4 linked regions of the Tamandua tetradactyla genome follow. The protein of the gene in region 1 interacts with the protein of each later gene in a pairwise test. Links are inferred from orthologs where the notes say so. Each region holds a gene or a part of one and is shown on either strand. Other genes may lie near its edges.

The links.
Region 2: the proteins of GRN (region 1) and GLRX3 interact in binary tests that used the Homo sapiens proteins (3 or more experiments, as listed by UniProt). The link is inferred for Tamandua tetradactyla from reciprocal best matches to the Homo sapiens genes GRN and GLRX3.
Region 3: the proteins of GRN (region 1) and FAM76B interact in binary tests that used the Homo sapiens proteins (3 or more experiments, as listed by UniProt). The link is inferred for Tamandua tetradactyla from reciprocal best matches to the Homo sapiens genes GRN and FAM76B.
Region 4: the proteins of GRN (region 1) and NLK interact in binary tests that used the Homo sapiens proteins (3 or more experiments, as listed by UniProt). The two-hybrid records come from large-scale screens. The link is inferred for Tamandua tetradactyla from reciprocal best matches to the Homo sapiens genes GRN and NLK.

Annotation. Positions count from the first base shown.
Region 1 is NC_135332.1:23,122,685-23,130,411, forward strand, and holds the start of GRN (progranulin), read right to left. Parts: upstream 3,021-7,727; 5' UTR 2,908-3,020; intron 2,749-2,907; 5' UTR 2,667-2,748; intron 623-2,666; exon of another isoform or gene 361-622; intron 287-360; 5' UTR 284-286; coding exon 146-283; intron 32-145; coding exon 1-31. UniProt on the Homo sapiens protein: Secreted protein that acts as a key regulator of lysosomal function and as a growth factor involved in inflammation, wound healing and cell proliferation. Regulates protein trafficking to lysosomes, and also the activity of lysosomal enzymes.
Region 2 is NC_135339.1:92,763,228-92,770,325, reverse strand, and holds the start of GLRX3 (glutaredoxin-3), read right to left. Parts: upstream 3,001-7,098; 5' UTR 2,988-3,000; coding exon 2,893-2,987; intron 1-2,892. UniProt on the Homo sapiens protein: Together with BOLA2, acts as a cytosolic iron-sulfur (Fe-S) cluster assembly factor that facilitates [2Fe-2S] cluster insertion into a subset of cytosolic proteins.
Region 3 is NC_135334.1:47,133,417-47,140,704, reverse strand, and holds the start of FAM76B (protein FAM76B), read right to left. Parts: upstream 3,006-7,288; 5' UTR 2,687-3,005; coding exon of another isoform or gene 2,642-2,686; 5' UTR 1,448-2,641; coding exon 1,361-1,447; intron 533-1,360; coding exon 468-532; intron 1-467. Other genes in the region: CEP57 (centrosomal protein of 57 kDa), read left to right, coding at 2,642-2,686. UniProt on the Homo sapiens protein: Negatively regulates the NF-kappa-B-mediated inflammatory pathway by preventing the translocation of HNRNPA2B1 from the nucleus to the cytoplasm.
Region 4 is NC_135332.1:51,201,582-51,209,109, forward strand, and holds the start of NLK (serine/threonine-protein kinase NLK), read left to right. Parts: upstream 1-4,517; 5' UTR 4,518-5,669; coding exon 5,670-6,124; intron 6,125-7,359; coding exon 7,360-7,425; intron 7,426-7,528. UniProt on the Homo sapiens protein: Serine/threonine-protein kinase that regulates a number of transcription factors with key roles in cell fate determination. Positive effector of the non-canonical Wnt signaling pathway, acting downstream of WNT5A, MAP3K7/TAK1 and HIPK2.

The sequences.
Region 1 (7,727 bases):
TCTGTATCGTGAGCAGAGAGGACTGTTCGTCCTGGGAAGAAAGGGGAGAGGTTAATTTGAAAGACTGCCTGGCCTCCTCCTTTTCCAGGACGACCCTTTGGGAAAATCCAGGCTGCCAGCTTTTGCCTGGGTGTGGGGCACTCACCACTATGGGACTGCAGCAGCTGTAGCGGTCTCCTCCTGCAGCCAGGCAGCAGGCCACAGGGCAGAGCTTACCGTCAGGGCACTGTGTTCCAGCCACTAGCCCTGCCATCAAGGCCAACCAGCTCACCAGGGTCCACATTGTCTGTTCACAAAAATTGGCAACCGATTTAAGCCCATGCCGCTGTCGATTCTGAGCACTGATTCACTCACCCACAGGCCTGCCTGAACATCCCCAACAACTCACTGTCCAGGATGGAAGAAAGATATGGAGCCTGAGACTCAGTTCCCACCATGTCTCCTGGAGGAGCCCTCTTTCAACTCAAAGAACATCCCCAAGAAGTCATCTCCTGGCCATGTCAGTATGAATATACATATACTGTGTCCCCGACCCATGGCCTGACACCTGCGTCTCTGTGGGTGGTTCGCAATCACAATCACAGGTGCCAGTGAGGAAGGCATGTGGGGTTTGGCGGTCTGATCTCTGGGGACATGGGCCACTGGGGGGCGGAGGGGTGCAGTAACCCTGGGAGAGAGCAGCGCTGGAGGGAGGGAGCTCCCACCTTCCCTGAGGTAAAGCCAGGCCTCCCCTTCCCCAGCCAATGCCGTCCAGTGCCCGCTCGCCCCCCCCCCCCCCGTTGTGCTCACACCTGCTGTGCCTGTGTGGGAGTCATCACAGGGTGATGTGGGAAACCACAGTGTGGGGAAAGTTGTGAGAAAGGAAGTGTGGTGGCTTGTGGGGCCGGAGCTACCTTCTCCAGAGGCCAGCCACTGCCTGCCCACCACTGTCCCCTTCTTCCCACAGCCTGGGTCAACCTCCGAGACTTCTGTTCTCTGAGGGACCCCCCCGAACACCATCAGCGCCCTATCAGACTCCCCAGACATAACAATCCCCTGCCCTACCTCTCCCCAAACCTTCGGGGCCAAAACTCAGCCACAAGCACAGAGAGAGCATATGTGCCCTGCCAGGGCCTCCCTGCCCACCTGTCTGCCAATCTGAGGCAGCAGGAGGAACCGACCCTCATGTCCCTGAGGGGTATAGACTCTCACTTCCCAACAGCACTTCCCCCAAGCTCAGCAGCCCTGTGAGTTCAACAGGGCAGGCCTGGGGCTTGTTACTGGGCCTAGAGGAGCAGACAGGAAGGTGTGTTGAGCCTCTTGGTGGCCAGTGACAGCACTGGTCATTTTATTTCTTCTTTGCAACAACCACCCAAAGTAGTAATTATCTTTACTTCTCAAAGGCAGAAATGGAGCCTCAGAGATGTCAAGTAACACGCCCATGTCATATAACAAATCATGGTGATGACAGGCTTGATGGCTGCAGAACACACTGGACCTGGATTTATTTCATAAGTGGCACCCTGGCCAGTGCCCCAGAATAGACACGAACCCCCAGAAGGACAGAGCACCTGGGTCCAAGCAGAGGGAGGGGAACAAAAAGATTTTCTGGGCAGGTGAACCAGGCAGGGTGGAAACAGGGGGTACAATGTGGAAACTGCATTTGGGTCCTGGTCCTAGAATTGGCCACTAACCAACTGTGAGAGCTTCAAAAGTTGCTCCCTGTCCCTGGGCAGGGTCCCCATGGTCTATGTGTGGCAGCACTGAGTGGGAGGCAAAGGGAAGGAGGTTGGGAAATTCCACCAAGTCCCTTAAATCTTCTTTCCCCTTTACCTGGCTTTCCTCAGGTGTCCCTCTCTCAACTCAAAGAACATTCCCAAGAAGTCATCTCCTAGCCCGAAAAGGATGATGACGTCTAATCTTGGGCCCACTGTCCCTTTCTCTCTCTCCACCACCTAAGCATCTGCCTCTGACTCATCTGTTTCTTGGGTGGGTGTTGGTGGTGGGTCCAACCTCACCACACAGCAGGCTCTGCTCTTGGTTTAGGCCACAAGGGTGCCTGTCCACACCCATCTAGGCCTCCATGACTTATTTATGTATATTTTCCTTCCTGTGCATCCTGAGGTTAGGAAGTATGGTGTATGCTTCTATCGAAAATGTACTCATACATGCGTGCGCAAGCACACGCACACAGCGAGGCATGCAGGACCAAGAGGCTCAATTTCCCTCTGGTTCCTCTTCACCAGGTTCTGAGTGGCAGCCTTTCTCACCACACCCCACACTACCACAACAGAGAGGACAGAAGCTTCTTCCAGCCCCCAGTACCATCATCTTCCACTAGGAGGCACCCCCAACTCCGAGTACCGGGGCTGAGGGAGATTCCCTAAAGGTGGGCCAACCCAGCAGCAACTGAGCAGGAAAAAGTGACAGGAAGAGAGAGAAGCTAGCTCGTCCCGCCTCCCACATTCTCCCCCCACGACAGGAAGTAAGGAAGCGCCAGGCACCACCTCGGGGCTCTCTCGCCACTCCAGATCCCTTCCACCTTCGAGGAGGCCTGAGCTTCAATTCCCCCTCCCAACCCCTCCGAGCTCCGGGACGAGCGGCAGGCGCTTCCCCTCTCCAAGAAGTCGCGGGAACGCCCCCCGCCCCCCACCCCCACCCCCACCAGGAGAGGAAGGAGCCGGCACCTGCTAACAGGGGGTGAAGCTGGCTCAAGAACGGGCTGGTCGGTCTCTGCTTTCGGGGAAGGGGCTGCAGTTTCCGGGAATCCTGGAGAGGGGACCCTTCTAAGGGGGCGGGTCACTGTAGTGACAGCTCGCTCCCTCGCCTACAGAACTCCCTCCAGTGCAGGAGAACCCCCCCAGCAGTTTCTATAAGCGAGTCTCCTCTTGTCTCCCGTCTGAGACTCCAGAGGAGCCTCCAGCTCACCGTCCGCGGCCGGGCCCCCAGGCAGGAGCAAGCGAGGGGTCTGCGCGGGCGGCCTCCCACTCGGCCTCGGAGTCGGCGCTGCCTGAGCGGCCTCAGCCCCGCCGCTCTTGGACTTGCGGCGCCTCTGCCCCGCCCACCTCCGTCCCCATAGGCCAGGGGGCCGCTGCCGCGCTCCCATTGGTCACTTGTCGACGTGGAGGCGGGGCCAGACTGGAATGCTGTGTATCTTTCCTGCCCAAGTCACTCTCCTCCCTCCCACTTCCTCTCTCTCCGCACCCTTATTCTTAGGCATCATGTGATTGGAGAATCACATGACGCCCCAGCCCGCTGCCTGTGCCTGCCTTGCGGTCTCCGCCGGAGTTTGTCCCTCGCGCGGCCGCCGGTGTCAGGGGACATGACAGAGGGCGCGATCCCGGGTGTTCATAGGATGTGACGTGTGTGCAGCCCCTTTCTACCCTATTCTGTTCCACCCTGTTCCATCCAGCACACTTGGATTAAATGCTAGGCCGTCAGATCCAAAGGGGGGTTGAGGGAGGGTTGTAAGGACAAGAATAATACGCCCCTAGCCCCCGTCCCTTTCCCCGAGGTGCCCCCAGCCTGGGGAAGGGGAGACAGGCTCAGACTAAATTAAGGCAAGGTCGTGTGCCAGATGCTATAGATGTGTGTAGGGGGTGAGTAGTACCTGGGCTTGGGGGCGTGGATTAATCCCACCAGGGAACACCTTAAGCTGGCTCTGGGAGTACTGAGGGGCTGGAGAGTCGGCTGGAAAAAGGATGTTCGGAAAAGTATCAGAAAACTAGATGGGAAGGGCAGCCACGGGCAGGGATTGAATGCCACGTGCAGCGAAGTGAGCTTGAGTCGCTTCTGGCTACCTGCGCAGGCTGGGCTGGGGTCTGGGGCCGACCTAGTGGAAGCTGGTCTTCCTGTCTAGGAACTGACTGGCAGGTGAGGGGAGACAACTTACCACACACAGTGGATTGACAGGCCACAGGAGCCAGAATCGCCCCACGCCAAAAGGCCCGGGTGGGTGATGGGAGGCTGGCCAGCAGAGAGGAGCCATCCAGGGAGGGTGCTGGGACCTGGTCTCCCAGAGTGGGTGAAGGGCCGGCAAGCTGAGGAAATGACTTGAGCCGAAGGTGAGGCTGGGGTAGAGGGACAAATAACCAAACTCAGTAGTGATAGGAGTCTGGGTAGGGAAGGAGGGGCAGCACTGTGGAATTGGGTGGCGGTTCTTAGCCTGGAACTAGGAAGGATCCCAAAAGTGGACAAGGTTCCTGCTGATAATCTAGGACTATTCCATCCCCCTGCTTATGCTTTTACTGAACACACACACACACACACACATGACTTTATGAAATGTTAGACAAATTAATATATAAGTCCTTTAATCACAACTACACAGAACCAAAAAAATCCACAAAAATACAGGCAAATTAAAAAAAAACGACTGAAAATAGCATCACAAAGTCTAATTAAAGACATGGTTCACAACCAGGGGCAATTTTGTCCTCCAGAGACATAGGGCAATGTCTGGAGTCGTTTCGGGTTGTCTGTAACAATTGGGGAAGGAGATGCTACTGGTATTAGTGGGGAGGAGCCAGGGAACCTGCTAAACATCTCCCTATGCACAGAAGCACCCACACAGCACAGAACTTCAGGTCCAAAATGTCAGTGGCGTTGAGGTTGAGAGACCCTGCTCTGGAGGGTCCCAAACTTTCTCCATAAGAGCCCTAAAGTGTTCCACATATAGAGCATCTAATCTCTTGTTTCATGTGCTTTTAATAAACGTAGTTATCTGATTCCTCAGCAACAGCAAATTATCGATAGATTGGGGGCTGTGTGTGTGGAAGTTTCTAGGGGCAGTCACTTTGTGTTTGGCAAGGATTAAAAGCCTTAGAGGGAAAACTGCAAACCACAGATCGAACAACTTAAAAGCAAGCCTGCACAACCCAAAAGGCCTTCAGCACATCCCTTTTTTGTGGGCAACAGTGAGTGGTCAGAGGCATGAGACTGAGCATTCAGGAAAGTTTAAATCATAAGCAATTACTCTACTTAGACAGTAATTGCTTACTAAACAGCCTGATTACTCAACAGCCCTGCCCAAATGACTGAAAACAACCAACCCTTCCCTGGAGAGGGCAGTTGCCTCCAAGGACTGTGGAATTTCTACCACCTCCTTCCAGAAGACCTCCGGGGTTCTTAAACCTTGAATTCAAGAACCTCATCTGTCTTTTGCTTTTTTTTTTTAATTTCTTGTAATTTATTGTTAATCTCTATAGAGAGGCTCAGGATAAAGTCAGGCCTCATTTTGACAGTGAAGAAGAAAAAAGCCACGGCCAGCATGGGTACTGGATCCGGAGGTAGAGACAAATGATGGGAGTAAAGAACAATGACAGAGAAAAAGGGTAGTGAAATGACACAGGTGGTGGTGGTGTCAGTGGCTGACATTTCTGAAGGCTTGCTGTGTGCTAGGCAGAGTGCCGACAACGCTGCTCTTGGCATGCAAAGTAGTGCAAAAGCCTCCACTTCATTTTTGAAATCTGGGCGAGAATGAATGAGGTTTATTCACCAAAGAGGTTTAAGATGAGACTCTAACGGATCCCCTCTACTCTAATTGTCATGGTCAGATTCATGTGTCAACTTGGCCAGGTGGTGGTACCTGTATGATTGGTCAGGCAAGTGCTGGCCTGTCTGTTGCAATGAGAACATTTCATAGAAGTAAATCATGATCATGTCAGCTGCATCCACAGCTGATTCCATTTGTAATCAGCCAAAGGGGAGTGTCTTCTGCAATGAGTGATGCTTAATCTAATCACTGAAGCCTTTTAAGGAGGATTCAGAAGAGACAGGCTCTCTTCCTCCTCCAGTTGGTGAGCCTCTCCTGTGGAGTTCGTCCAGACCCTCCACTGGAATCGTCAGCTTCACAGCCTGCCCTGTGGATTTTGGACTCTGCATTCTCGCGGTCACGTGAGACACTTTTATAAATTTTATATTTGCGAGTATTCCCTGTTGATTCTGTTTCTCCAGAGAACCCCAACTAATACAATAATCATACCTCTTGCCCCCCCACCCCCCGAAACACATATATACCCTGAGTGCTCTCAGGGCTTCAGAGAGCCAGCCTGAAAGGAAGCCAGAGGTGGTCAAAGATCAGGAAAAGTTGACCCTAAATTAAATGTCCAAATGTAAAGACTCAGGGAAAACCATTCCAGATGTTTTACTGTTATAATTCAATACATTCCTATTTAATTGCAAACACCTCCAGAGAGTTATCACCTTACTCAGGAATTGAAGGGAAAGGTTAAAACTAGGGAGACGGAAGTTTGGCTAAAACAATTACATCTACCAGTTCACAGGTCCAGGTGAGGTGCCTTTTGCTTCTAGAAATGGGATATTATTTTGTGACCAGGAAGACTGAAGAGGCAAATTTCCAGGGTCACGAAGGGATTTAATGCCAAAGCTCCCGTCCCAGTGTGCCCCTTCCTGAGTCCTTCCTTTCTGATTCCCTTGCACCAACCAGCCCTTGTTGTTTTGGGGACTCCTTTCATTTTCCCAGCATAGCCTCGCCCCTGTCCAGCCTGGTGGTTTGATACCTTCCCCTCCAGGTTTGCTTACATGGAAATAACTCACTGCTCGAAGTCCCCACAGACAGGTTCTCCCCCATTGCCCATGCTGGCTGTCACCTCACCTCCTTCCCTGATGCCCTGGCCTTCAGCCTGACCCCAAGGTGGGCAGCGTGCCCCTGACCCTCCACTGGTCTCTTTGGGTGTCAGAGATGGACGGACAGTCGTGGAGCCTGGTCCCCATGTCTCTTGCTTTATGGGGATTTTTTTTTCAGCTTTTTTTTAAATTAATTTTTAAATTTTTAAAAAATGTACAACAAACAAATGCAAATATTCTTTTTTCTTTTTTTTTTTTTTTGGCATGGGCAGGCACCGGAAATCGAACCCAGGTCTCTGGTGTGGCAGGTGAGAAGTCTGCCTGATGAGCCACCATGGCCCGCCCAAACACAAATATTTTATGATCATTCTATTCTACATATATAATCAGTAATTCACAATATCATCACACAGTTGGATATTCATCATCGTGATCATTTCTTAGAACATTTGCATCAATTCAGAAAAAGAAATAAAAAGAAAACAGAAAAAAATTCATACATCCCATACCCCTTACCTCTCCCTTTCATTGATCACTAGCATTTCAATCTACTAAATTTATTTTAACGTTTGTTCCCCCTATTATTTATTTTTATTCCGTATGTTTTACTCGTCTGTTGATAAGGTAGATAAAAGGAGCATCAGACACAAGGTTTTCACAATCACACAGTCACATTGTGAAAGCTATATCATTATACAAACATCTTCAAGAAACATGACTACTGGAACACAGCGCTACATTTTCAGGCAGTTCCCTCCAGCCTCTCCACTACATCTTGACTAGCAAGGTGATATCTATTTAACATGTGAGAATAACCTCCAGATCCCCTTCGGGGAATGGTGGGAACGGGGAGAGATTCAACTTCCCCAGGTTGAATTCTTGATATTCTCACAAGCAGTGTGGACAACCAAAGCTATAGGCTGAGCCCCCAGCCTTGCGGTTTGTTCATATGAAACTTAACCCCACAAAGGACAGGTCAAGTCTACTTAAAATTTAGGCCTAAGAGTCACCCCCAAGAGAGCCTCTTTTGTTGCTCAGATGTGGCCTCTCTCTCCAGCCAACATAACAAGCAAACTCACCACCCTCCCCCTGTCTACATGGGACATGACTCCCAGGGGTGTGGACCTTCCTGGCAACGTGGGACAGAAATCCTAGAATGA
Region 2 (7,098 bases), on another chromosome or scaffold:
CAAAGTCTGAAATATGTTCCACAACTAATTGTGGTGCTGTGCTTTGAAATTTATAGCTTTTTTGTATATATGTTATTTTTCATAAAAAAAGAAGGAAAAAAAAGTCGATTGTGATGATGAAAAAAGTATTTAAGCCCCCTAGCCTCCTATATTCTGGAGCAGCTAGAAGGAAAAATCTGAGAGGATCGTATGGTAGCCCATGACAAACTCTGGGATCTGTCCTGTAACCACTTGTTGAAGAGTGCTTTGAAAACGACTGCTTTTTTTTTCTTTGCTTTCTATGTATGTTATACTATACAACAGAAAAACTGTGTTATCAAAGAATTTTTAATGACATGGGAAAATGCTCACATATCACATTTTTAAAAATTAAAGTAGGTTGCCATACTTTATAGCATTTAATTCTATGTAAAAAAGGAAAAGAAAAAAGTACATACAACTTGAATTCAAATTTCTGTTGCTTCACTACTAAGGTAACCGAACAGTAACTGAACTTCTCTTAACTTCTACATCTGTAAAACAGGAATACCTAATATCCTGGGTTGCTGGGAAGATCAAACAAAAATATAAAAGCACTCTGAAAATATTAAAGCACTATGGAAATGCCTACTGTCACATTAAACTATCTATGATTTTCTCATGTTTAGATGCTTAAAATTTCCATTTTCCAATTAAGTACATAATGCCCAATATTTTAAGGACATAAACCTGAAATGGGGTTGTCCTCTTTAGGATATCTGTAACTGTGTTCTCTCCATCTTCACTGATAACTCAATATACATAGTGCAATGTTTGAGGAAAACATTCAGAGAAAGACTGACCAGGTTCAAATCCTGGCTAATAATGTCAAGTCTTCATCAGTAAAATAGCTACTGCTCAATAGTTATTTCTTTATGATTACAGGTGCTCTGATTAATTATTCAGCAAATGGACATAAATATCCTACAGACCTGCTGGAGTTTTCATAAATTATAAACATCTGCTGAGATGACTTAAGCAAAGAAAAAATGTCAATTCATACCAAATTTGAAATTGAGAAGGTATGCTTTTTAAAGCTTTTTAAGTGATTGCATTACCACAAGTACTCTTTAATATTTGTAAATGCTTTCATTTTCACAAAAACAGCAGATATTTGTTCCTCCCTCCTATGCCAAGTTGCCCAGGTACTCATTTAAACTAATCTCTATGGGAAGCAGTATAGTCCTTTCAGTTATTTCAAGTATAGACAAGCAGCAAGAATACATCTAACTGGTTTTTACATGTAAACTTTTACCCGTGTATATTTTAAAGACTTTAAAATATGAAGCATAAAAACAAAAACGTGAAGCACACAACAAACAAAACAGTTTATTTCAGATGATGGTTAAGTCCAAAATGTTTATTAAAGGCAGGTCCACACAAGCCCTGTTCATTTCTAAAGGCCATCACTCATGTCCTCCATAATTTGCTGCCTTAAGATTGTGTGTGTGTGTGTGTGTGTGTGTGTGTGTGTGTGTGTGTGTATGCAGAAAAGTATTGGCTGAATTAGAATCCAGGTTTCATCATTTCCTTCTGTTTGACAATTTCTAATGTAAGCCTGAGACGCCCAAAGAGCTGTCTTGAACTTCATCCTGTCCGTAAAGGGTGGTCAACCAGAACAGAGCAACTTTCACCCCTCCCCATTTTCAACAAAGGCAACTCCCCTATCTCATCGCAGTCTCCATTATAAAAGCACAAAATACAACTTGCCTCTGACTCAAACTCAGCCAGCAAAATTTTACTGTATTAAGGTCAAAAAGCATTTACCACCAGTGAATTCCACGCACGCACGCTACTCTCTACTGAAAAACAACAGGCTTCCCACTCACTCATTGAGTGCTTCCTGCATGCCAAGCCAAGTACTAAGCATTTTACTTGATCTCATTTGATCCTGGCAACAGCTCCACGAGGGAGGTACAATTCTCAACCACTTTCCCGTTGAGGAAACTGAGGCTTAAGTGAAGCCCACCCTAGGGTCACCCAGCCATGAAGGGGGCTGAACTGAGGATGCCACAGGCGATCTGACCACCTAAGTTCCCATCTTAACCTTTACAGCTGAAGGCTGTCCTTGAGGACACTACAGTGTGATGTGCATTACCACGGTCGCCCATGGGCACACCTGTCAGCATTTACCTGTGAGCACTCATACGGTTCAGTGTCTAACTCCAGAAAAACGTTTTCTGTGCATCCCGATGGATCTCCTTTTGTGGACTCTCAAGGGCAAGAAGCACGTGTGCGCCAACCCGGAACCGACTGACAAAAGCAGCTCCTGAAACACGAATTCCCCGTCTATGGCAACGACGAATTTGGAAATGCTAGCGCTGCCTGCCTGTGACAAACTTTAAACACTAATTCTAAAAGAAAGGCTAAACACCCTAAGGAAGCCAAGCCCTACTATAACGCGGTGCCAAAGAGAAAGACTTGAGTTGGCAGGACCCGGCGGGCGGCGCACAAAGGAGCCGAGCCCGCCGGTGGGTCCCTCGCGCGGCGGCCGCGCCCCGGGCCCGGGTCTCCGCGCAGCCCCCGGCCCCGCCCGCAGCGAGCGCCTCGGGAAAGCTGAGTCACCGCGCCCGGCGGGGGCGGCCAGGCCAGCGCGCTGGGGGCCCGGCCGGGCCGGGGGTCGACCCTCTCGGCCCCGCCGCACCCTCCAGAGCGGGGCACGCCCAAGCCTCGGGCCTGGCAGCTCTGGACAGCCCGGGGAGCCCGGGGAGCCCGGGGAGCCCGCGGGGCCGGGCGGAACCGACCGACGCCCGGGCGAGCGGGGCGTGAAGGCGCCGGCATGGCCGCTCTCCTCCCTCAGTGCCCAAGGCCCGCCGGCCCCGCGGCCCGTACCCGCGGCCCGCGCCCAGCTCCTGCCTCTCGCGGCCCGCTTACTTGGCTTTGAGGCGCAGCAGCTCCTCAAACTGCCCGGCTGAACCGACCTCCACCACAGCCGCCGCCGCCGCCGCCTCGGCCGCCCCCGCCGCCATGCTGCCGCCGCCAGACTGGAGCAACCGAGCGCGGGCGGGTCGATGGGGGCGGGGCCGGGGGCGGGGCGGGGCGGCCGCGCGCCGGCAAAGCTCCGCCTCCCCGGCCACGCCCCCACAGCGGGGCTGGGCTATTGCGAAACCTGATCCGCCGGGCCTGCAGCGCACAGCCAGAGCCAGCCGGGTTCCAGCGGCCGAGATCCGCGCGCTGTGCTCGAGACTGTCGGGGATCCTGACCCCTGGGAAGGTCCTGACTCCCGGGGATCCTGACTCCTGATCTCTGGGAGTCCTGACTCAGGAATCTTAATTGATTGGAGAGTCCCACCTGCTTAAGACCTCACCCCACCAGCCTCCTGCTGGCAGCTCCTACAGCTTCAGGTTCCGAGCTTTGAAAACCAGGCCCGAGGGCAGAGGAAGGATTTGTGTGTGCAGGTGCGTGAAGTCAGGCTGTGCACTTACAAGCTGAAATCTTTAAAGTTTAGCGTAAAGATTGGCATGAACTGGGAAGGCTGAGAACACAATGCTGCCCAGTCTCCAAACCTCACCTAAAGGACGCCTCCCACGAACCCTACGTGGAGACCGCGTTCCACCCCCCTCACACACACACACACACACTCCCAGCTGGACCCAAAGGGACTGTGACCAGAGAGCAGCAGGACCTGGGACTCCACCAACCTAGCTTCCAGGACCCCCTTAGCACCTCCAATCAGGCCCCCAAGCTCCCAGACCCCTCTTGCCTCGGGCCTTCCCTGGCGACCCTTGCTCTCCTTCGCATCCCCCTAAAGTCGACTCTTCTGAGGGTGTCCTTTGCCTTCCCCCACACTCTCTCCTACCTGGTCATCTTGTCGGTGCCCCTACTGACTTAAATGTCTGGGGAAGGCTCGGCTGCAAGTCCAGAGCTCTCTCCTGCCCTCATCTTCTCCAGACTCTCCTCCCATAGTTCCCATCGCAAGGGGTGCTACACCAGGAATTTGGGGCTTCTCTTAAAAGTCCTCCTGCACCGTCCTTGAGAAAGTGTCCACACAGCCTTCCCTACCTGTCCCTACTGCTCCCTGTGTGAAGAACGTGCTCCCCTTCACCAGTGCTCCCACTGAGGGCAGGAATTGTCTTTATCCCATGCCTGGGCTAGAGCACAGTAGATGTCAGTACGGGGCAGAGAGCAGGGCTCATCGGCAGTATTACAACCCAGAGAGTGGACAGGGACAGCCTCCACAAGCCACACTCTCAGGTGAGCCACATGCTGGGAGGAGCTGGCAGAGGGAATTCGCCCCAGGGGCCTTGTGCTGCTCTGCCACTTCTGTGCCAATCCCCTGCGTGCTGCCCTGCACATCTCTCGGTGGCCTGGGAGGGTGAGCACAGGTATCCTTGAGAGAGAGGAGCAGAATACAAAATTCTTTTTACAAAGAAATTTTCCTTTTAAATATGGACTGAGCATAAAGCATTTTCCAGGGTGGGAGAGAAAAAATTAATCTGGAAGAATTAAGAGGAGGCAGAAGGATTTGTACAGGTTGGTGTGATGCTCTGATACATACCAGAGTTTATTTTGGCCAGAAAATAAAAAAATATTTGCAAATCCCCTTGGGGGACTGGGGAGAAAGGAGGAAATATTAAACTTCCCCATCTGGGGAATTCCCGACATTCTCACTAACAATAGGGACAACCAATTCAACAGGCCGAGCATTTAATTTGGGGGCTCAACCTTATGAAGCTTATTCCTGCAAAGGATAGGCTAAGCCTACAAATAATTATGCCTAAGAGTCACAACTAGAGAGCCTCTTTTGTTGCTCAGATGTGGTCTCTTCTCTAAGCCAATTCCACAGTTGAACTCACTGCCCTCCCCCCTCTAAGTGGAACATGACTCCCAGGGATGTAAATCTCCCTGACAACGTGGGACAGAACTCCCGGGATGAGCCAGCATCATGGGATTGAGAAAGCCTCTTGACCAAAAGTGGGCACAAAATAAAACTTCAGTGGCTGAGAGAATTCAAACAGAGCTGAGAGGTTATCCTGGAGGGTATTCTTATGCATTATATACATATCCCTTTTTAGTTTGTGGTGTATTGGAGTAGCTGGAGGGAAGTACCTAGGACTGTTGAACTGTATTCCAGCAGCCTTGATACTTGAACGTGATTGTTTAACTATAAAGCTTTTACAGTGCATCCATGTGATTGTGAAAACCTTGTGGCTGACACTCCCTTTATCCAGGGTATGGACAGATGATCAAAAAAATAAGATCAAAACAGAAATAAAAATGGTGGGGAGAGAATGGGCAACAGTGGCTCAGTGGCAGAGTTCTAGCCTGCTGTGCCAGAGACCGGGGTTCTCTGGCAGTGCCTGCCCATGCGAGAAAAAAAAAATCATGGGGGAGATAAGAGGTTAAAAAAATTGGATGGATTGCAATACTAGCGCCCAATGAAGAGAGGTAAGGGTACAGAATATATGGATTTTTTTCTTTTTTCTTTTTATTTCTCTTTCTGGAGTGATGCAAATGTTCTAAAAATGATCACAATGATGAATACACAACTATGTGATGATATTGATTGTATATTTTCCATGGCTTGACCTTGATAAAAATATTTTTCTAAAAAAGCAATACATAATCTTTAAAAAAAACAGAAGAGGAGGCAGACAGAAAAGAGAATTGTGAGTGTGTAAACTGGAAAAAAACAGAAGCACTCACAGCAGGCAGCTAAGAGCCGTGCAGTCCAGTGTGGCTCTATCCATTGTGGCAGCTCCATGCCTCCGAGAGCTGGTATGTGGCTGGCCTGAATTTCAATGTGCCGTAAGTATAAAATGCACAAAAAAGAGCACAAAATATCTCATTAATATTTTTTATATTGTTGGCATGTTGAAATGATAATATTGGGTTGAAACGCTATATTGGGTTACATAAAATACATAAACTAAACCTGCTGCTTTTTACTTTTTTTAATGAGATTCTTAGAAAATTTAAAATTACATAGGTGGCTTTCGTTTGCAGATCACTTTTTATTCTCGTTGGACAGTGCTTCTCTAATGGTTTAAAAGCAACCTATAGGAGCCACATTACAGACACACCTCACTCTGAGAAGCAGATGCCACTGAGAATGGTAAATTACATTACTGAAAATGTGGGACAGAGGTGGGAGTCCAGGTGGGTACACAAGCCTACCTGTGATAAAATGGCGTAGAACTAAACACACACACACAAATGAACATCAACAGGACTGAGGCCATCCGAATAAGATAGGTAGATTGTATCAATGTCATTACAATGTCACTGACTGTGAGACAGTGCTACACTGGGGAAAACTTTTGTGTGTACACAGTGTCACTCCACATTACTTCTTACAACTCCAGTTGTGAATCTACAATTATCTCAAAACTAAATGTTTAATTTAAAAAATACATAAAAGCCTTAGTGATTATTATAAAAATGCAATAGGAGGGGGGAACAGCATATGGTAAAATAGTATGTGTATCTGAGAATCATTTTTAAACATGGAATTATATGTAGACAAAATATGTAAAGATAGGTGTGTGTAGCATAGAAAAAACTTTCAGAAGGATGTGTCCCCAAATATTAGAACTTGCCCCCAGAGACTAGAAGTTGGGGAGTTTGAAGGATGGCCCTTTACTTTTTACATTAAACACTTTTGTGTCGTTTGCATTTTTCAAAGAACATGGACTAGCTTTGTAATTTTTTAAGATAATGAAACTGTAATACACCAGGGAAATGTGCAATAGTGAATAGTTTTCAAAAAACGCAAGTAATTGCCCCCCTAATGTGGCTGTTTTATAAATCTTGATTTTTCCTTTAAATGGAATTTGCTGCAAGTGGTATACGCTAGCTGCAGAGCATGCTCCCTTCAACAAAAATGCCCCCAGAAAATGCCTGGAAAACATTTCCAGTCCCCCTCCTGCCCTTTCTTGCAGTTATCATGATTGAGATCAGCAAGCCTAGGGGGCAGCAGATGGCCTGTTCCCTCTAAAATGCTCTGACTTCAGCAGCAAAGACTACTCAGTAGCTCAGCACTGAACTCAAGCCACGTTTTGGGGAGAGTGCTGAATCTGAGTTACAGGTATCTACAGGTACGTACAGGTGTATATGCAGGAGCATAAATGGGTATTTCCA
Region 3 (7,288 bases), on another chromosome or scaffold:
TTCTTTTCAGCTATTTTCTTCTGTGTGTTCTCAAAGTGGAATTGCCCTCTTAAAAAGCATTTGCTGTCCTTCTACTGGTAATAAGTAACTAGATTCCACTCTTGGAAGGAAGGTACTGGTTAACGCTACAGATCTTTCTTCAGATCCATGTCAGAACTAATGTTTAACCATTTTCTTAATAGCTTATAAAAACTGTTTAAATTTGCATCTTCATAGCAAAGCTGTATATTTTTCAATGCAATAATTTATTCCTTATTTGCTTTTGTGTAAACTGAAGTCTAATTGTAAAATAACCACTGTTTTAGCCAACATTCTCTCTCCCACCATGTATAAAAGGTTTACAACATAAAATTTAAGAAGCTATACCCCTTAAAAATATTTATTACATGCAAAATTACCATATCCCAAGTATTCCTCAGAGAGAATGCTTTGTCTTTAACAATCAAAAACTGTACAAATATACAAACCTCTCTTGTTGAAATTCTGATCTGCAGTAAGTACATTTTACAATTGGATGTGCAATTCGACATTCCTGTAATAAAACAACACGTTAGTCAACATCTATCTCAACGTCCCAAATCTCACTTTTGTGGTAGAAAACTATTACCCGGCCTAGTCAAATGTCTCAATCATCAATAAAACCTATCTACTAATGTAACCAATTGGGGGATTAATCATATAAATGGCAAATTACAATATAATTCCTTAGGGAAGGCATAGGCGTCTTTGTCTGTATTAGATGTGGGAGTATGTTACAGATAAATTAAGAAAGCTGTCAGGGCCTGTTTCAAGAACTGATCAAATGTGAAACTACTTATTTTGCACCGTTGCTCACAGACAGCATCCTGGCTTTAATGGGATGGAAGGAGCTCCAAATCATAGAGCATTCTGTTCCCAAGCCAGTCGCTTCGCTTTCCTGGACAGGGAAGAAGGATGCCATCAGCTTTGCGGCTTCGGATTCCTAGCAAGAAAGTGCAAAAACTGTCCCCTGCCTCCTGGTGGAAGGAGAAGACAGACCAGGCAGAACATTGAGATGAAAACATCTCCATCCCAGGGTCTCTGCGGCATAGACAGGTGGCTGCCTTACTCAGCCCCACCCCTAAGACCCCCAAACGCTGCTGGGGCTCGGCCCCTCTTGGGCCTCCTGGACGAAGGTAGAATTCTGTCGCTCTTTCTCAGGGGTCCTTCTCGACTGATGTACAGGCCCTCGGATAAAGGGATCCCGGGTGGGAGGCGAAGGCTCCAGACCCCTAAATCCCAAAAGCGCCGAAGAGCGCGGGGCTGCAGTGCACCAGTCACCCAGCTCCCCTGGATTGCGGTCGAGGGAACCCCGCCCGCCCGCTGCCCGGCGCCCACAGACCTTGCAAAGCTGCTGCCCCTGGGAAAGCTCCTCGAAGGGATAGCGCTGGGTACACTTGGTGCAGGCGTACAGGGCCGACGCCGCCATCCTGCTCCTCAGTCTCCTCCTCCACCGCCGCCCGCTGCGAGGCGGAGCCCTACGGCGGACTCTGGTACCGCCGCCGCCCGGGCCACGGGCTCCTCCTCCTCCCCCCTCCCCCTGCCTCGCGCCCACCAGGGCCTCTTCCGGAGAGTCCCCCGGCCCCTGTGGCAACGCTGCCGTCTCCCTCCGCCTCCACTTCCGCTCCAGCCCACCAAGCAAGACTGTCCCAGCCTCTCCCGCTTACGCCCCGGTAGCGGCGGAGGGAGACGAAGCGGTAGTTCGATAAGATTTAGCTGCGCGACGCGATCCGCTTCCTTCTCGGCCTCCGTTCCGCGTCCCCGATTGGTCACGGAGCCTACGCGTCACTCGGTCGCTCCTCCCAACCCCTCACCCAGGTTACGCAAGGAGCGCCCACAAAGGGAGGAAGCTGCTAGCCAATGACAGCCCGACGTTCTCGGCGCGCGAAATCTGCTTTAAATCAGTCCCGCCCTATGCCTGGGTCGCAGCTATTTCTAGTAGCCGGTTCGAGGTTTGGGTGAGAGCTCCCCAACCTAATTGGGCAAATGTTCTTGACAGGCTTGGTCTCTGCCTCCTCTCTCTTTCATTTGACTTCTATTGGACCGAACCATTAAGCCCCTCCTAGTCCGGTTTGTTATTGGCCAAAAGGAGTTCACCCCAAATCAAGCTCTCTTCGGCTTCTAACCCAAGAGAAGGGATGGCGTGTTTGAACTTCGCATTCATTTTTACTCTATTTCAATCATTCGACTCAGTTGCCACCGGAGACAACAACACAAATCCTGGCCCACGTTTCCTCCTTGAGAAGTCTCCTTCCTTTGCAAAGTCGCCTCCCAAGCCGTCTAGCAGCTCCCAGTGTTATCGGCTCCTGGCAGTCTCAGTTACGCGCTACCTTGTGACGTCAGCGAGGGAAGAGGCGGATTCTCTACAGGAAGGCGTCCGCTTTTTTGATTGGCTATCCAAGCCGTCCATCAGGACGTGTTGCCCTGTCGGCGTGTGCTCTGAGTTTGGGCGTCCCGGTGGGGGTGTGTGGCAGGGGGTTCTAAACCTGGTACCAGCACCCTCGCCCCTTCCATCAGGGGCCGGGCTTGCGGTCGCCCCTGGTGGGCGGCTCACATATCTTGAAGAAGAGCACGGGAACCCAGATCGTTCCGGAGCTGCGGAGGCCTGCTGGGCAGGAGAAAAATGGCGGCGGCGTCGGTTTCTGCGACTTCTGGTTCTCATTTCTCGGTAAGAAGCTATTGATGTTCGGATAGGCTCCAGATCGGTTCTTCTTAGTGCCTCTTCCCTTTTCCTCATGTTTTAGAGCTCTCTCGGCTCTCCCTCTCATCACATCTTGAGGAACAGCGGGCACGGGGGAGGAGCACCTAGATCGCCCAATGCTAGCCCTGCTTCCACTGCTTCTCTGTTGAAGCTGCACCCTCTGGCTTCCAGTGAAACAGGACTGGTCCGCCACTCCCTCCGTCCCGCCCCACTTCACCCCCATCCCCCGTGTGGGTCTAGCAGTCCAGGTTGCCGAATGTTGCCTAGACTCGGCTGGGAAAACTGTACCGGCTCCCTGGCCTGAGAAAGCGTAACTGCTTTGGTCACGTGGCGGTAACGGCCCCTTTTTGGAAACTGGCGGAGACCAGGTAGGCGCGCTTGTCGGTTTAATAGACAGCTTTTGAGTAGTCCGTTGTTTATCACGTGCATTCTCGTTTTTGCTTACTCTTTTGCCTGCAGACTCCCTGCCTCCTGTCTTCCCAGTAATGTTGTTCCGTGATCAGACCAGAAGCGCGCGCTTCCCATATCCCACCATATTATTAGGGCTGCAACGTTTAAATGCCTTTTCCACGTACTTTTCTGTGTTGTTTTAAAAACGTACGTTTTTTGAAAATTTCAGATATGGGTTGATGATTCCAAATATTGTTTTCGCCTCCACAAGGGCCACCAATTCAGTCACTTGGTTGAATTAGAGTGTCTAATGCTTAGTGGTTTGGGAACTGTCCCGTTGAGAATAGTTGGGAAGTAAGTGTGACAAGGCTTATTAAGTTAAAGGACTTTTCTATTCATTCAGCCAGTGGTGAGTTACTGGCATATTATTAGGCTGAGATTACACAGATGAAGAATATAGAGCTGCTGCTCTGAAGGAGAAAAACACTGAAGAGAAACAACATATAATTAAATGATTACTACACAGAACAGTTTGAAAAATATTGTCATGCCGGACTAATCTAGGCAAGAGTGGCTAGTATTGTTTGGGTAGACAGATGAGGTTTTCTTGAAGAGAAGATGGAGTTGAATGGGGAAGGAATTTTAAGTGCTTCTTGCAAGAATAGAATAGGAAGAAGAAAAAGGCACCATAGGCATTTTGGGGATAGGAGCCAAAATAATAGGTGCTTTCAGGAAACTTGAAATAACTTGGAATAAGCATAGGTAATATGGAGGTAGTGTTGTGAGATGAATTGGAAAAGTAGGTAAAAGTATGGTTTTGAAGGTCCTTATATAGAATCTGGGAGAGAAAAAGACCAAAAACATCAGGGTCAAGTAATGGCATAGAAGTTAAGGGGGAGAAAGTTTAAAGAATGCTAAGAGCAGATTCACTTTGAGAAGTCATGCCTTTCTTCAGTTTCAGGTTTCTATGGCTGTCTTTAGGATTTGGGATAATGAGGCCAGAAGCAACCTTCAGGGTTTCGGCAGAAAGAGGGTAATCATAAGTCCTCAGAGAGGTTAGCAGAGATTAAAAAACAGTTGGAGTTTATTCAGAAATTAATGTCAGTAAAAGGGAAGATAAAACAACTATGAGACAATTAGAAAGAGGTGTCTCTCTGTAAATGGATGAGATTTTCAGTATGAGATGTGATTAATTAAACTTAATTGGGAGAAGATGTGCTCTTAAAATAGCACTTTGAGGTTGAAAAGACCCTTTAAAATGTGGAATTGAGCTGCACTCCGAAGATGAGTAGTGGCGCTGGGATGTGCTCAACCTGTAGTCCTTACGATAGGCACTCCAGAAATCCAAAAGAGTGTGTAACAGAAGACATATTTTAATGTGCTAAGCTCAGATTTAACTGGGTTCTAAATATTGAGAACAATAAAATATCTAGGACCCTTTACAAATCAAATTATAACCATCTTCTCAACTAACTTGATGTGCTACATCAAAATGTCTAATTTTGAAGCTACATCTCAACACAATTTAACCTATTTCTCCGTGCGTAAGAGATGGCCCTGCTTAGATATTTTTTTTCTCTGTCCGCCTAAAATAAGGCTGCATTTCCAACATGGCCTGCAGTATTAAAAAGAGCACTTTAGCTTAGCAGCTGATTATAATCTAAGACAAGGCATAAAAAAGACCTTATAACGCTACAACGTGAACTCAGATTACTCCTATCAGACTTCAGGGTTGTGAGCAGTAAAAACTCATATGTATTTGGAAGTGATAAAATCAGGATAGAGCTAGCTATAATAAATGGAGATGCTTTTACCAGGCAAGGATTTTTACAGGGTAACTGTATATCTCTTACATTTCAAATATGATCAACATGAAAGTAGGTGATAGGTTTGAATTGGTTTTTCTATGTATTTATTTACTGCAACAGTAGCAATAAGAGTAGCAGAAACAGCATTTATGGAGGGATTACTCTGTATCACTCTCTAGTGGAGAAAGCAGGAAAACAATTATGATTGACATGATGGAATTAATGCTAAATTAGAAGTTCAGGCAGCATAGAGTTGAAACACAAAAGAATGTCTTTCATTTCGGTTCTCTGTTTTCCCAATAACCACAGTCAGTGCCCTCATGTCACTTTGAGCAACATTGAAAATATATATGATTTATTTTAGAGAATAGTAAAGTGATTACCTTCATGCCCCTTTTTGTATCTTCCTTCACACATACACAACCACTACCATAAATTTTGAGATTACAATAATACCTAATACTTATATAGTATTAACTGGCAGACAAAGAGTTAAGCATTTTTCATACATCAGTTAATTTAATCTTCACATAAGGTTGTTACCTTATGAAGCTGGCATTAAACTTACATAACTAGTAAATGGTAGAGCTTGAATTTGAACCCAGGTGTGCTGGTTTGAAAGTATTACGTACCCCAGAAAAGCCACGTTATAATCCTTATGCAATCTTGTTGGAGCAGCTGTTTCTTTTAATCCTGATTCAGTTCTTTAGGGGAATCTTTTGATTAGATTATTTCCAGAGAGATGTGATGCCCCCAATTGTGGGTGTGACCTTTGATTTGATGGATATGTGACTCCACCCATCCCAGATGGGTCTTGACTAGTTTATTGGAATCCTTTAAAAGAGGAGGTATTCTGGAGAATGACAGAAGCCTCATAGCTGACAGAAACTTCACAGCAGAGCTGACAGATATAGACACGTGGAGAACAGAGACACGGATGTTTGGAGATGCTTGGAGCCCAGCAGACATTGCCATGAGATACTAAGCCAGAACCTGGATAGAGCCAAGGGAACCCAAGAGATGAAAGCCAGCCCCAGAGAAGCAAGGTGAGGAACCCCCACAGGAACAGAGGCTGAAGGCAGTGGAGGCCAGAAGCATATGCCAGCTGTGTGCCTACCAAGTTGATAGAGGTGTTCCTGACCCATGGGCCTTTCTTGAGTGAAGGTAACCTTAGGTGTATTAGTTTGGACAATTTTATAGGCTTAGAACTTTAAACGTGTAACTTATTAAATTCCCCTTTTTAAAAGCCGTTCCAGTTCTGATATATCACATCTGGCAGCTTGCAAACTAACACACCAGAGTCCTTTCTTTTATTCATGATGTATTCCAGCTAATCATTCCCATTTTTTAAAATCATTTTTTCACATACAGATGTATTCCTTTCCTTTTTTTTTTCTGTTTTTATGTTTATATTCCTTTGTGGCTTGCTTTTTTTTTTTTTCTATCTTATGTTTTTGAGAATCATCTATATCGGTATATGTATGTTTATATGATATTTATTCACTTATACTTCTGTGTAACATAGCATCTTGATGGGCTTTGAGGTTTTTAGGTTATGTTGTTCATTTGTTTGCTAGCTATTTTAAACAATCCTGTAGGTGTATTCTGTAATGTAAATCATTTCAGATGTGAAAAGTTTCTCTAAAGTAGCAGTTTCCAGTGTGGTCTGAGGACCACTGGAGGTCCCTGAGATCTCAGACTGTTCACAAGCTCCTTCCTTACCAACCACATATCTGTGAGTGTGTAGTAAAGAATTTTGCCTTGCTTGAAGAGAGGTCTGGAATTTGTCACCCACTCCTAGGAGATCATCTCTATACCCTTGGAATTTCCAGAGAGAAAGGAGGGCATTGCTCTTTATAGTGGACCCCTGAGACCAAATAGTTGATCATCAGTCAGTCATACTTACATAGTGAAGCCTCAATACAGACTCTGGGCACTGAATGTTGAAAGATTGGCAATACTCTGTGCATATTGTTACACATTAATGTTGGGAGGTTAACACTTTCTGAGAACAGTGGAAGCTTTGGATTTAATTGTGTAGTTAATTCCTTCCTCTTGGGGTGAGAAGTCTTGAGAGGACTTGGCAGTCTGGAGGACTGTATCCTTAACCTTACTCTCAGGTACTGGGAGACCAGATTTTCTTTATAAACATCTATATCAGCCAAAACAGTATATTGAATGCAGAAGCAGATATGAGAATCCAACTGCCTTCTTTTAAGCCAAACATTAAACAGATATACAAAAATATAAAATAGACAAGTGAGGCGAAAATAATACAGAACCTTTCTGGGACCAAAGGAGCCTCCTCAGCTGCAGAAGCCCATCTCCTTAAACTATCAAGGTGAAAAAAGTGGTGAAAGAACTGCCTTAT
Region 4 (7,528 bases), about 28 Mb from region 1:
GACATGTCAAGTCTGCGGAGAGGGGTCAGGACATGGAAGAAGCGTGGCCGGGAAAAGGTGCATGTGTTGAAAGGCCAGAGGTGGTCCCCCCTGCACGCCACTTAGGGTTTTAGGTAAAAAATGTTGAAAAGATACCATGGGCCCAGTGAAGGAGGTCCTAGGCTGCTGTTCTTCCCCATGTTCCAAAGCATCCCTTTCTTGGCTATTTCCTCCAGCTGCATGTATAGTGGGAGGAATATGCACAGAGGAGCCAGCCTAGCCCAGTTCTGTCACTCACTAGCTGCATGAGGTTCCATACGTTACTTTGCCTCCCTGAGTCTGTTTCTTCATTTGCAAAATGGGATGTAGTGGTGATTTATCATATGAGACAATGTTTAAGGCATCCAGTGTTGTTGAACGTGAGTTGTTCCCTTTTGTAGTCCTTTAATCACCCTGGTCTTGGCCTAAGTTCTACAAAGTCTCTGCAGACAACTCATGGGGTGAGCCAGTTCTTGGGAAGAAAGGGAAGATTACCTCCCACTTCCTGCACATTATATTCCTGCTTACATATTCTGATGTCCTGCTTGCTTTTTTAGGCTCTAAGTGCTATCTTGCTGACTCACTTCCGACTTCTCCTTCATCATGCTCAGCTCCTGAAAATGGAACGGAATGGAAAGGGCCGGATATTGTACTGTCTGATGATGTGTTTAAAGGGAATTGGGTGGCAGGCATACCAGCTGTATGTGGATGGAATACTTGGGGACATGAAACCAGCAGTGCCCAAAGCGTATTTCTCATATGACACTTAGGACACTTCGCCTTGGATTTTAATGCTAATAATAATCATTCCACTTTCTGCCACTGATGAGATACCAGGCAGGTCCTGGATTATGTGCTTTCCATGCATTGTCTCTTTGAATCATCACAACAACTAAAGGCAGCAGGGATCTCTCTATTTTATGGACAAGGAAATTCAGGCTAAAATAGTTTAAGGAACGTTTCCAAGGTCACACAGCTGGTGAGAAGCACAGCAGGGATTCAAACCCCTGATCTAGATCTGTGCTGTCTAATGTGGTAGCTACTAGCCAAGTGAGGCCAACAAGCACTTGAAATGTGGCTAGCGGGAGTGAGAAAACTGAATTTTTAGTTGAATTGAGGTATAAGAGCAATATATACACCAAATTTCAAAGATTTAGCACTCAAAAAGAGAGAAAAAGAATGTAAAATATCTTTTTTTTCAAGATAACCTGTTGAAATGACAATATGTAAATGTATTAGGTTAAATGAAATTTATTATCAAAATAATTCTGGTGCTCACTTCGGCAGCACATATACTAAAATTGGAATGATACAGAGAAGATTAGCATGGCCCCTGCACAAGGATGATACTCAAATTCATGAAGCGTTCCATATTTTTCTATGTAAAAAAAAAAAAAATTCTGTTTCTTTTTACGTTTTTTTATTTGACTGTTAGAACATTTAAAATTTCATATGTGGGGCGGGCCGCGGTGGCTCAGCGGGCAAGAGTGCTTGCCTGCCGTGCCGGAGGACCCCGGTTCGATTCCCGGCCCCAGCCCATGTAAAAACAAACAAACAAACAAAATATAATAAAACAAGAAAATGTTTAAAAATGTTTCCCTTCCTTCCTTCTCTGTCTTTCCTTCCTTTCCTCCCTCTCTCTTAAAAAAAAAAAAAAAAAAAAAAAAAAAAAAAAAAAATTTCATATGTGGCTTTCATTATATTTCTATCAGACAATGCTGATCAGAGCTGTGAACATTAAATGGTCACTAGACCAACAATTTTCAATATTTTTAATAATATTTTTTGAGCACAACTCTGCAATATATATACATATATTTATTTATAAGTTATCTACATTTACTTTACTCAGTATACTAGGTACAGCATAAAATACTAACAAAACAGAGCTTTTAAAAAGATGAAATATAAAGTAAATACAAATAGAAGTACAATTTTCTTCCTGGAACCTAACGGATCACTGTGCACCTCTTGGAGTGTGCACACATCATTTTGGAAATTCTTGCACTAGATTTAGAGCTCCTGGAGGGCAGAAACTTTATCACATGTACCTTCCCTCCCTAGTCATTGACCCTCGCATCATGCCAAGATATAATTATGTTTGTGAACAGAATAAATAATTCTTAATGTGTAGCTGTTTTCTGATGAATTAGATTAATTTATTTCACATGTGTTGAGCAATTTCTATGTGCAAGGTACTATACTAGGTACAGAAAAGAAAACAAAGTTTAAGAAGATTCAGTTCTTCTTAACTTTTTCATGTGTAAGAATCACCTGGAGGACTTGTTAAAATACAGATTCCTGGGCCCTAGCTCCAGAGATTCTGATTGACTAAGTCTGGGGTGGAACCCAAGAATTTGCATTTCTGAAAAGCTTCTGGGAAGCTGTATTCTGGTGGAGCCTCATGAGCAAAAGGCCTGGAGGAATGGGAAAAGCACCCCAAGCATTGCATGAGGATGGAGAAAGAAAGGGAATTAGCATATTCTGAAGTTTTAATATTTGTCAAACATTTAAAAATGTATCATTTCATTTAATCCTCACCTCATCTTGATGAGACGCATATTATTATCTTCATTTTCAGTTGAGGAAATTGAGACTCAGAAAGGTTAGTTAAATTGTCTAGTAAATGGCAGAGATAGAATTTGCATGCCTTCTTCACCCAATAACACGTGTAAATCTTTGGTAAGCATCATTCTTCTTTTTCAGGCACTTTTCTAGGAATTGGGGATGCAACATTAAGTGAGGCAGATAGTCAGCTCTTGGTCCTTGGTAACTTCAATAAGCAATTAGAATATCGCGTTTTCAGTGCCGTGAGGCCAGCAGTACCATGGAGATATATAACAGAACACATACTGTAGGACAGGGTTGCAGAAAACTCCCAAGAAAGATAGTGAAAGAGCCTTGAAGGATGAGTGAAAGTTGGGGGAGTGGGGGATGGGTGGAAAGTGTCTGGGCTGAAGATATACATGAAGGCTTGGAGGAAGCAAAGCATGAGAATGTGAAGTGTAGAAGGTGAAAGTGAGAGATAAGGCTGTAGAGGTAGGTGGGAACCAGATAGGGTTGGACCAGTTAGGTTTATTGATTTACCTTTACTTCAAAGTAGTGGGAAGTCTTTGAAGGGTTTCAATTAGAAGAATGGCATAGTTAGACTTGCATTGTTAAAAGAATACTATTCCCCCAATGAAGAACGGATTAGAGGAGAGTTAGTCTGTAGGCAGGGAGATGAGTTAAAGATGCTACTGGTGTATATTTGGGTAACGATGGGGGGACTGGAGAGAAGTGGGGAGGTAGAAGTGTTTAAGACTTGATGATTGATTGGAAGGACAAGGGTAGAAAGGGAAAGAAAGAATCAAGGATGACCTTCAGGTTTCTGACTGTGCGGTTTTTGTAGGGATAACGTCTGTAACCTTATTATTTCACATTTTAATAATGTGAAATATTATTAAACATTCTTCTTTAAAAGAAGAAATGATTCAGATAATTATGGTTACGTGAAAGAAAGATATTTTAGTAAGAGTTCAATGAACGGAATTTACTTGACTTAGAATATATGAGGGAAAAATTACTATCCTTTAGTTAAGTTTCGTTTTTTGTTTTGGTTAAATTTGTATCAGTAGCCTTATTGTTTATGGAAAGTGGAGTTCTGAATGCTGGAGATAACGCCACTTTTTTTCAATTAGGATTAGCCATGGAGGACTAGCCATAGGCTAGTAACTATCAATTTACTGAATTTCTGCCGTAACTGTCTTGTTGAGTAAACCTGAACCTTGGATTTCTAAAGCTCAATATCAACCTTGCGCCTTAAAAAGGAGTAGTAAATAGTTTTGTCAATGGACTAGCAATAATTTGAACTCCGCCTTCCTCACCTCGGCTCCGCCCCATAAATCTTTAGACCACACCCCTTTCAATTGGCCCCGCCCCTTGAAGAGGTCTTCGCGGAGATGACAGCGAATTCTCTACAATCCTGCCCTATAGGAAACCTGAAGGGCGGGACCGAGATCAATCTTTTTTTCCATTTGTCAAACCAAGTGTCTATCTGGCCTCAGCCCCAACCCACTTCATCTTCAACCCAAGGATTGGTTGCTCTCTTCTTTATCCCCGGCTTATGATTGGTTCTTTCATTCCGCCCCTCTTTTCTGGCTTTTGCAGGCGGGATTACCACGCAGCTTCCTGCTCCTGCCAAAAAAAATAAAAGAAGAAAAAGAAAAGAGGAGAGAGGCGAAAGAAAATGTCACAGAGGTCTTTGGTTTTCAATTCGCTTCCAACCTTGTCGGTCAGGCCAAACCTTGCCTTTTGATTGGTCTTTTTATCTGCCCATCCCGGATCTGGGGCGGGATTTCCCCAGGAGACCCACACCTTACTGCCACTGGCCGAACGGTGCGCCTGTCTGAAGCTCCTGGCCCAGGATTGGCAGCGGACCCGGACAGGTGGGCGTGGATTGGCTAAGGCAGCCGGTCAGTGTGAGGTGTGGGCGGGGCCTCGGCGGCTGGTTGCGCGTGTCCGCCGCTGGCTCGGCTCTATCCGGCTTTGCTAGGGGAGGTGAGTCCGGCCGCGGCGGCACCGGCGGCTGAGGAGGCGGCGGCTGAGGAGAAAGCGGCCGCGGCGGCTGTGGAGAAAGCGGCCGCAGGGACGGAAGCCGGGTGGGGGGGAGGGGGGGAGACGGAGCAGCCTTGAGCCCTGCGGGGGCCGTTGCGCGGGGGGACCCACCCGCTCTCCCCCCCAACCCTCCTCAGCAGTAGCAGCCGGCGGCGGCGGGGGCAGGAGTCAGCCGGCTTCCTACTGCACCCCGCCCGCCTCCCGGGGCTCCTTTTCTTTGGCCCCGGGACCCTAACCTCATCCCGGGGCGGTTCCCTCTGTCTGGGCGTCCGAGTGTTGCCCATCTCTACTCTTTCATCCTCGCTGCACCACCTTACCCTCACTTTGCCCGGATTCTCTTTCTCCTCTCTGCGCCTGGCTTGTCGCTCCTCGCCTCACTCTATCCCTCCTGCCTCCTTCTCTGGCTCATTCTGCCCAGGAAAGTTTAGAACCCTCTCCCGACCCCCCACCAAGTCAACCTGACTAGGAGTATGGGGAGATGTAGGAAGGCCTGAGAGTTCGAGGTGGGGGGGAAGCTGGTTTCCCTGAAAATTTCCCCCCGTCTTTTTAATTTGGGGTGGTTGGAATTTTTTTTTTAATTGTGTTTTTGAGGAGGTGGTAGGTGTTCAGAAAAGGATGTGGGAATGGAAGGGGTAGATGATTCAACCCTTTTACAAGATTCTAAGGGTAGTGTGTTACCTGATCCTTTTCGTGTGTGGAATTCAGGGGGTTGGGAGGTTTGGCCTTTATTCCCACATTCAAAATTGGAACCCCCCCCAAATTAAGAATGGAGTTTTAGTACCCACCTGTGGCAGGAATCCTGGGGGGAAGGGGTCCTTTTTTCCTTTTTCTTTTCTTTTTCCTTTTTTTTTTTTTTTTTTGGCAACTCACACCGTTCCACACACACTCAGAAATTAAACACCAAGATCCTCTAACTTGTTTGGATTGACTGATGAAGACATAAAGCCAGTTACGCTCTATGTTTTTTGAAGTGGAGTGAGTGGTTTTCTTCATTTTTAAATGGCCAAATGACAGCTTGACCCAGTTTGCTTTCCAATCAAAGAGCATTTTTTTGAATGTCTCTTTGTGGCACAAGAGCCAACGCAAAAATGATGGCGGCTTATAATGGCGGTACATCTGCAGCAGCAGCAGGTCACCACCACCATCACCACCACCTTCCACACCTCCCTCCTCCTCACCTTCACCACCACCACCACCCTCAACACCATCTCCATCCGGGGTCGGCTGCTGCTGTACACCCTGTACAACAGCATACCTCTTCGGCAGCTGCGGCAGCCGCAGCAGCGGCCGCAGCTGCAGCCATGTTAAACCCGGGGCAACAACAACCATATTTCCCATCACCGGCACCGGGTCAGGCTCCTGGACCAGCTGCAGCAGCCCCAGCTCAGGTACAGGCTGCCGCAGCTGCTACAGTTAAGGCGCACCATCATCAGCACTCGCATCACCCACAACAGCAGCTGGATATTGAGCCGGATAGACCTATTGGATATGGAGCCTTTGGTGTTGTCTGGTGAGTATCGAAAGAAACCCAACTTCTCATGGTTTCTTCTCATGGTTGTGATTGGGCAAATCAGCCCTCATGGTTTTCTCCATGTTGACCAAAGTGGAGCAAGCTTCTCAACTCACCTGTAGAAAGCCACCCGCAGTTATATGGTAAAGAGGCCTAATGTGTTGGCTATCCAGGCTTATGCGTTTGAAGCATGGCAAATTTTGGTCAAGCACCCACTGATGAGTAACGCACATAAGTTTGCTATCTATTGAACTTTTCTATTTAGAACACAAGCAAGCCACCACGTGTAGGATCAATAGAAATATGAAATTCTTATTCCTAGAAAGACCTTTGTCATCTCTCATATGTTTGATTTAGTTTGGAGCCATTACACTGGGCTCCAAACAATTGTCACAACTGACTTGAACTCTATTCCTTATTATAGTCTTGTCATCTGGATATGCTTTGCATAATTACTTTCCTTATCCTTTCAGTCATTTCACTCCTTAGTTTGTGAACTTGATTCACCCCCACCTCCGCCCCCTAGAAGGAAGGTAGAATTCCTTGTTGAACCAGTTAGGATCGTTGCTTGAGAGGTTTATTTTAAACCATACAGATACAGTTGGGAAGCATGTAGCTTTAGCCTTTTGATAAGAATGCATTAAATATAGCACTATACATGAGTACCACAAATGAGGTCAGTAGACTGTAGCTGTGCAGTGGCCCACATTCTCTATAATGTTTTAATGCCATTTAGTGTCTCTTAAATTGCTGTTATCCTTTGATCTGTTGAAGTTGTGTAGTGGGAAGTATACTTTTTAAACAAATGAATTTGCTGTATTTTCATTGATGCTATGATATTTTTAAAAGTCTGAGGGCTTCTTAAATGTAGCATTTTGGTCATTTTTAGCAAGATTAGTTTATAAAAAATGTATTTATCAATGTAGGGTCCTATTCCTATCAAAACATTTAGAGAGAACTGAGGGTTTTTTCAGGGATTAAGTAGTCCAGTGTGGATAGATGAATTGTTTTTAGAGCATTCAAAAATAGATTCTTGTTAAGGTCTAGTTAAGCTGTCATCAGCACAGGAAAATGAACTCTTTGGAACTAGCCCTATAAATGTCTCCTTTTGTCATTGTTTTTAAGGCTGTAATTGATCTGAGTATCATTTTTGCATTATGTTTAGCCATCCTTATTTATAGTTCAGATTTTATAACCTAGGCTATTAATTGATATGATCCATCTTTTTAAACTAGTGGAGTCCAGTATTTTACCCTCAAGCTCTCCAAGGAGGTTGCTGCAGCAGTGCTCCCTTTTCCAAGGTATGCGGGATTCCTAGTGGGAAGTAGAGTGTAGCCCGTATCCGTGCCTCTTCAGTGGCTCTGCTCAGGGGCTTGCCTGTTCCTGTCTTCCTCTCGTCTCTTC